Notamacropus eugenii: one gene and its partner. The protein of the gene in region 1 interacts with the protein of each later gene in a biochemical or structural test. Links are inferred from orthologs where the notes say so. Each region holds a gene or a part of one and is shown in the gene's direction. Other genes may lie near its edges.

Evidence for each region.
Region 2: the proteins of TNFRSF13B (region 1) and TNFSF13B form a complex in vitro, tested with the Homo sapiens proteins (3 studies listed by BioGRID and IntAct, with this or other methods). The link is inferred for Notamacropus eugenii from reciprocal best matches to the Homo sapiens genes TNFRSF13B and TNFSF13B.

The regions. Positions count from the first base shown.
Region 1 is NC_092874.1:378,465,356-378,469,277, forward strand, and holds the start of TNFRSF13B (tumor necrosis factor receptor superfamily member 13B), read left to right. Parts: upstream 1-869; 5' UTR 870-958; intron 959-3,922. UniProt on the Homo sapiens protein: Receptor for TNFSF13/APRIL and TNFSF13B/TALL1/BAFF/BLYS that binds both ligands with similar high affinity. Mediates calcineurin-dependent activation of NF-AT, as well as activation of NF-kappa-B and AP-1.
Region 2 is NC_092877.1:215,030,856-215,034,777, reverse strand, and holds the start of TNFSF13B (tumor necrosis factor ligand superfamily member 13B), read left to right. Parts: upstream 1-1,193; 5' UTR 1,194-1,292; coding exon 1,293-1,652; intron 1,653-1,765; coding exon 1,766-1,865; intron 1,866-3,922. UniProt on the Homo sapiens protein: Cytokine that binds to TNFRSF13B/TACI and TNFRSF17/BCMA. TNFSF13/APRIL binds to the same 2 receptors. Together, they form a 2 ligands -2 receptors pathway involved in the stimulation of B- and T-cell function and the regulation of humoral immunity.

The DNA.
Region 1 (3,922 bases):
AGTGGATTTTATATTTGATCCTGGAAGTAATAGGGAATCACAGGAGGTTAGATGGATGAGGAGGTCAGATTTGTATCTGAGGAAGATCATTTTGATAGCTAAATGGAAGATGGATTAGAGCAGGGAAAGACTGGAGTCAGGAAGTATAAGGGCAAAGGTCCTGCACCAGGGGTGGCTGTGTGAATGTAGAGAAGGGGAGAAACAGGAGGGATGTTGTGAAGATAGAAACGACAAGTAGAAGACATGAGAGGAGGAAAGGCTGCTTGTATGGTGATGGGGAACAGTTTGTAAATGGTAAAGCAAAGTAAGAAATAGTCTGACTTCCCTATGATGACCATGAGTGAAAGTGGACCAGTACTGAAAAGGGTAGCCAGCAGGACAAAGTCACCAGAAGGGAGCCAGGTCCTGTTCCGACTCTTTGTGACACCATTTTGGGGTTTTCTTGGCAAAGATACTGGAGTGGTTTTCTCATTTCCTTGTCTAGCTCATTTGACAGATGAGGATACTGAGGCAAACTGGGTTAAGTGACTTGCCCATGGTCACACAGCTAGGAAGTGTAGGAGACAGGATCTGAACTCAGGAAGAAGATAAGTCTTTCTGACTCCTGGTACAGTGCTCCATCCACTGCACCACCTAGCTCCTGAAATAATGTGCTAGTATAGTACACTTCCCATAAATATATGTTGGACTTCGATCAGATTTGCTGGACAGGGCTAAGTTCCCAGCTCCAGTGTGCCCTAGAGTTTACGTGTGCATACATATGTATGCATGGGCAGGCCTGGGGCTGATTTACATATTAAAAGTTTGGGGGAAAAACCCAGGAAGCATACAGCATAGACACTAATCAAATCTAATGCTAATAATAAACCTACTGAGTAATGGGTAAGGCCTGGGACTGTAGTTCCTTGTGAGGGAGCAGAAGTAGAGCAAGGTGAGAGTCTTTTGCAGAAGAAGAGATGTGAGTATTTTACTAGACTCTTTGTGGGAAATCGGGGAATGGGGAAGTGGCTACATGGGAGTGAGAATGGGAGCGGGCAGTGAGGGAAGCAGAGTTGATTTGATGAAAATGAGATAGTCTGGGGAGCTGGGAGAGGCTCAGAGAGTATTTTAGGTATGGAAGACAGCCCAGAGGTTCAGTGGGGAAGAGTGAAGTTCCCACAGAGCTCAGCTGCCGTACATGGCTCAAGGCAGACGCCAGCCTAGAGGATTCTAATTATAACTTAGCACCCATAAAGAAGGCTATAGGATCAGAGATCGAGAGCTGGAAGAAGGGCCATCTGATCTAATTCTCTCATTTTACAGATGAAGAAATTGAGACTGACAGAGGTGAAAGAGCTAGCCCAAGGTCACATGGGGTAGTGAGGCTGAGATGAGACCCAAGGTCTCGAAATCCAAGTTTTTGCATTATACTGGACTAGAGAATGATTGGGAAAATTGCTTTCCAAAGCTAGACATGCTCTGTAAACACAAAGGATTATAGTCTATTAGTGTAGCCTGGGGAGCTCAGGGTAACCAAATTCATTCCTTCCCCTCCTGTCTCATGAAAGAAGGAGAGGGGAATGAGGCCTTTCTTAGTTTCAGCCTTGAAGGCTAAGTCTCAGCACTGCCATCGAGGGAGCCCCATCTTCCTTCTTTCTGAATCTTTGGAAAAGATAGGAACCCAAGGAGTCATAAACCATTAGAGCAGGAAAGAAGAAGAAAGAGAAATTCCAGGGAAATGGGAAATGTCAATCTTTTCTTTAATCTGCAGAAAGTTTAGGCAGTATTACTCATCGGCATGGTGCCTGCATGTCAAAAGTCAGACATAGATTTGAATCGATGGCATCTTGTCTTGCCATCTGTCTGTTTTACAGATGAGACACCTGAGGCCATGAAGGGTTAAGGAACTCCTCCGAGTAGGTAGCAAGCATCAATGGTGGAATTGGAACCCAAATTCTCAGAATGTTTTGACAGCACCACATCGACTCCCCTGGCTCACTTGGGTTAGAATTCTAGAAAACAATAGAGCTGGAAGGAGCCTTTGAGGTCATCTAGTTAGACAGCCTTCATTTCACAAAGGAGGAAACTGGGGCCCAGCGAAAGGAAGGGACATGCTTTACATCCTACAGCAAATTCACATCAGAGTCTCGGTTAAGTCCATGGGTCTCACCATACTCAGCCCGAAGCTCATTTCAGTCTAGGCTGTGTCTCTCAGTTTATACCTATGAGGCCAGGGAATGTTTCCTTTTTTCCTTTTAGAATTCCTATAGCTCACAACTTGAAAGACTAACAGGTACACAGAATGTACTCAAGTATTATCACTGAGGGAGGTGAATGGTTGTGAAGATATATGATGGCACAGCATAAAATGATCCTGTCCCGACTTGGACTTGAATCATACGTCAGCTCTGAATAACTTGTAGTGGCTTCATAATATACATACACAGAACTATATATATATATATATATATATATATATTCATATACACATTTTTATTTAGATAGACATACATACATAAACATATACAGATATATATGGGGAGGTAGATAAGCTAGATAATTGAGACTCTAGGCTGGACTCAAGTGTTCCCAACCTTGTAGTTTTCTGCCTCTGCTTTTAGGTGTTGGTTATTTTTAGCACAACAGAGCTTTGCCATTTTTTTTTCATGCAGCCAGACTTATCAGTCTTGCACCAAGGGCACATTCAGCTGGTGAGACTGCCACAGAGGATGGTGCATCTCAGGTACAGTTATAGCACAAGAGGAGATAGCTTATCTCCCAGAAATTATGGCCCATGCCCCAGGAGCATAGCCAACAGTCCTCAGAGCCTAGGAGAAGTTGGTAGAGGGGTATGGTAATGGTACAAGATGGATGCTAAGACCTTGAGGCCTAGGTTGGTGGTCCCAAGAACCACTAGTGGGAGTGAGTACCCACTCCACAAGATGTCGGCTCCCTGGAAAAAGGCCTTGGTTGCCCTGCTCTGGTTACAACCCTGTATTTGGCAAATGTGTGTGTGTGTGTGTGTGTGTGTGTCTGTGTGTGTGTGTGTGTGTGTGTAGATAGATGACAGACAGACAGATAGATAGATAGATAGACAGACAGATAAATAGATAGATAGATAGACAATGTTTTTAATGAATGGTCCAGATACTGAATGCTTTAAGTTCAGAGAGGTGGGAATTTTTTAAAATTAATTAATTTATTTTTAGTTGACAACATTCAGTTCCACAGGCTTTTGAGTTTTACATTTTCTCCCCCTTCCTCCCCTTCACCTTCCCCAACATGATGTGCAATCTGATATAGGCTCTACATATACATTCATATTAAACATATTTTCACATTAGTCATGTTGCAAAGAAGAATTATAACCAAAGGAATGAAGAGGTGGAGATGTCTATAGGCTGAATATGAAGGTAGGATTTGGTTAGGTGCTAACCTCCAGTCAACCACACACCTGAATTGGGTTTAAACCCACAAACTGCTTAAATACAAATTTCCATATAAAAAAGATCTGGGCTTACAGTGGGCTGTATCTGTATGCCCAATATGAGTCAGTGGTACAAGATGGTGGCCAAAGGTGTCATTTCCTTCTTAGGGGGTCTGAACAGAAACATGGTGTCTAGAGAGAAGGAGATGATAGGTGTTCCGTACCTTTGACCAAGCCACATCTGGAGTATTGTAACCAGTGTTTGTGGGAGGCAGTATGGCACAGTGGATAAGACACTAGACTGGGAGCAAGGAGGCCTAGATTTGAACCCTGCCTAAGACATAATAGTTGTGTTATATGGAGGGAAGTTGGTTGATAATTCAGTGCCTTTATTTCCTTATCTACAAAACGAGAATAATAAATGCCTACACAATTTACCTCCCTAAGTTGTAAGGAAAAGCATTTTGCAGTTTTGCAGCACAAGATAAATAAATTTGTTATTATGGGCGATTCATT
Region 2 (3,922 bases), on another chromosome or scaffold:
CATTTCCTTTCTTGGGGTCTTTACATTAGTTATCCTGATGACCAACAAACAACTTCTTAATTTTCTTCATATTTGTGTCATATGCATTTTTATATATACTTGTCTCTTCCATTAGAATGTAGGCCCCTTGTGTATACCAACTATTTCATTCTTTGTGTCTGTATCTACAGCATGTAGCCCAGGCCTCAACATATAGCAGGTGCTTAATAAATATTTGTTGTTTGAAGATGTTTTTGTTATTGCTGCTGCTGGGTTTTTTTTGGCATTGATTCCTAGTCTGTGATTCTTTTATCCTGTGATTTGGAAAGTTTTCCTGGAGTTCAACTTGGAAAGATGGATAGGATTTGAATAGGCATCCAGGAGAAAAGGGAATCCCCAGAATGGAAAGGATGCAGAACAGCACAAGAGAAGGGGTAGAGGTGGCACTGAACATAGTGTATGTGGAAAGCAATGAAGAATCTGTTCCAAGTAGGTGATTGTGTCTTGTTCCTAAAGAGCTTCAGTATGTCTCCATTAGTAATTTATGCAGAAGCCTACAGGAAATGTTCATTATTGGATACTGGATATTGGATCCCTCCCTCTCCCTGCCCCCCCCCACAACTAACCCAAATCTATCTTTCAACATTTCTACTTATGCTGTTAGATGGAATCAAAACTGCTGATGATCATTTCTCACATGATGACCCTTCATCTGTTTTAGTGCTTCAGATTATTTTTGAATCATTCCCCCAAGAAAATGACCCTGTACTTTATTTAGCTGACCCCACCTAATCATTCATTAGTTTTATTGCCCTGCCTTGGACTCGTCCCAGTTTAGCCTCATCTATCTTAAAGTAGACAGAGCCCAACCAGAGATAGTCTAATAAAGGTTTCATATATGGCTACTTAAACACACTAATCTGTTATTTTGGAACCTAAAACATTTCCCCTGATAGACCTCTTAGTCAAAGGTCAAAGCTGTATCTAAGAAAGAAGGGCTATGGGAGCCCATTTGCTCCTGGAAGTTTGAGAGATGCCAATAAAAACATATAACAAAAACTGAAAGTGAAAAGAGGAAGGCTGATTGTGCAATAAAATAAAAGAGGGAACGCCAGTAAAAACCTATTCTATGGTAACTAGAGAGATGCATAGCAGAGGAAGGAAGAAAATTCAGGAGAGGCCTCCTGATGAGGCAAGACAGGCTCTAAGATCCCCTCGGTGCTGGACATCAGCAAACAAGGCTAACAGGAAATGATCCATTCCATGTGGTCACTTATTCTGCCTTCTCTAACTCTCAAAGTTCAAATAGAGAAATGGATGACGACAGAGAAAGAGGAGCAGTTAAGATTTACTTCTTCACTTCTGGCCTTAAGAAAAGAGAAGAAATGAAACTCCTGGATTGTACACCCACCCTTCCTCAGGGAAGAAGCTCTGCATGGCAAGCTAGAAGAGGGCTCCTGTCAGCCACTCTGCTACTGACGCTTCTCTCCGGTGGCCTGGCACTGGTCTCATTGTACCAAGTGTTCACCCTGCAGGCTGAGTTGGGGAGTCTCCGGCATGAACTTCAGGCTTATCAGAGCAGGGCTGAGCAACTTCAGGGCCTGCAGAAGGAGAAAGCAGGAACACACCCTACTATTCTCCAGTCAGAAGCTGCTACCATCACAGGACTACAAGTGAGTTACCAAGAAGCTGCCTAGCCCTGGTTACAGGGCTCTCATGCTTCCTATTTCTTTTACTTCTGCTTAGTTTTGTTTTTTTAAATAACCTGGGTCTTTTCCATTAACAGGAGCTTGGGGTACCCCCTATCACAGGAGAAAGCAGTCCCCAAATCAGCCTTAGACAAAGCAGAAGAAGCAGAAGAGGTGTTCCGGACTCAGGGGAAACTAGTAAGTTGAGGGGAAGCAGTGTTTCAGAAACTTCCCAACTGGGGCATATACCCATAGCACAAACTGGAGAAAATTAGGTGAATTCATTTTCCTTCCTGGATCTCTGATCATATTTTCTAGCTGCAAACAAAACCTGACCAGCTATGTTGCTAAAACAAGGGAGCCCTTTACGAGGATTGCTTCACTTGTTGCAGGTTGTAATGAAGAAGACATTTAAGAGTCAGTCTTCAAGGGCCCTGGAATCATCTGGGGGAATGGTGGAAGGGAAGGAAAAAACCTCTTTTACTATTTTACTATTAGCTCTTCTTGGTGATTGCAATAACCTAGTCAGTATTTTAATGTTTCTAAATAACAGATTTCATTGGTGGAATAATTCACCTGGGCTTGAGATAAAGGGAGCAGTTTATTTAATCTTCAAATAAAATAAAGGCCACTTTGTCAGAAGCATTGCTCATGACTCACCTAATAAAACCACACCCTTTCCTATCCCTTTTCCAATTCTGGAACCACAATCAAATTAGGGACTGTTTCTACTTTTGTATTTATATATATACTCAATGCTAGACACAGTGCTTGGCACATAGAAAACCCTTAATAAATGTTTTGTTTTTCATTCTTTCATTCAGATGCTTTCATCTCTCTATTATTAGAATGTGCCTATCTGAGACAGAGAGTTGGCTAAACATACTCATCTCTCCATGCGCCATTTTGTGATACTTTATATCCAAACAGGTGTACTGTTTTAATCTTAATGCTTCTCCTAAGACATTTTTAATGGTTTCTCCAATGAAAGCTGAATGTACTGCTAGTCTTTTTAAAGTAATTCTTCATGGAGTCCTTAATTTTTAAACATCTTCTTATCTTAGAGAGGCAAAGTGTCAAAATGGATAGAGATCTGGCCTCTGAATTTTCTCCTGTGTCTGACACGTACTGACTATGCAATTCTGTAAAAGTCACTTAACCTCTTAGTTTTTAAACAACTCTCTAAGGCTATTATTTAGAGTGAAGATACCTTCCTGCATTCATAGACAGAGTTCCCTCATCTGGGAGTTCCCTAATCCAATGTAATAAGACGTTCAGTCTCTATTTTTCTGTCAGTTAATCTTTTCTAACCATGAGGCATTTACTAGAATGGCTTACAGCCTCACAGGGTCTTAGAGATGACCTTAGAATCCTTTCCATTAAGTGAAATCCAGTATAATTTAACGTAAGAGAAAACAGGCCCAGAGAGATACAATGCCTTATCTGAGAGATTAATTATACCGTTTTGCATTTAGCCATCATTTGCCCATGATCAGAAAAATTCTTTACAATAATTCAGGAATTTATGTTTTAGAGTTGACAAAGTATGACTTCAAATGTAATGGTTGTGGTCACATTTTTTATTAAAACCCCAGTGATTCCCTTTTTAAAGATGTGCTCATAAAATGCAATCAAGCTTTCAAGTCCAAATTTAAAATATATCTTCTTTGTGGGGCATTTCCTGAACACCCTAGATCATTATAAATCTTCCCTTACCCTGAACTTTTACCATTTATCATTTTTACAAGTCATACTCATTTGGCACTTAATGACATTGTATTTTTCACTCTTGGTTACATTTGTATGTGTATTGCCTGTTTACCAATAGAATCCAATCAGAAGCTCCAGGAAGAAGGAAGGAGAAAGGGAGAAGGTTAAAACTTGGTTCTTCTACACTACCTACTAGAGTCACTTGTACATAGTACACAGTAAACGAATGTTTAGTGATTGATTCAATAGGAACTTTAAAGTGATAGTGATTTGAATGAGTTTGAGGTTACTTGACATTGTATTTCTTCTGAATTTCTTCTGATTTCTCAGTTTGAATTTAACCAGAAAACATTTTATGAAATATTAAAAGTTCATATTTATTACAGCTGATTGAAAAACATAAGAGGACTGCCACAAAGTTTTAGCTAGGAATGCCTTTTGGTTGTGGTGGTGAGCCTAGGATGATAGCTCCCTGAAACTTTGAGTACAATGGCCGCAGAAACACCTTCTTTAAGGCATTCCTTCAGTTATAATTCTGGTGAATT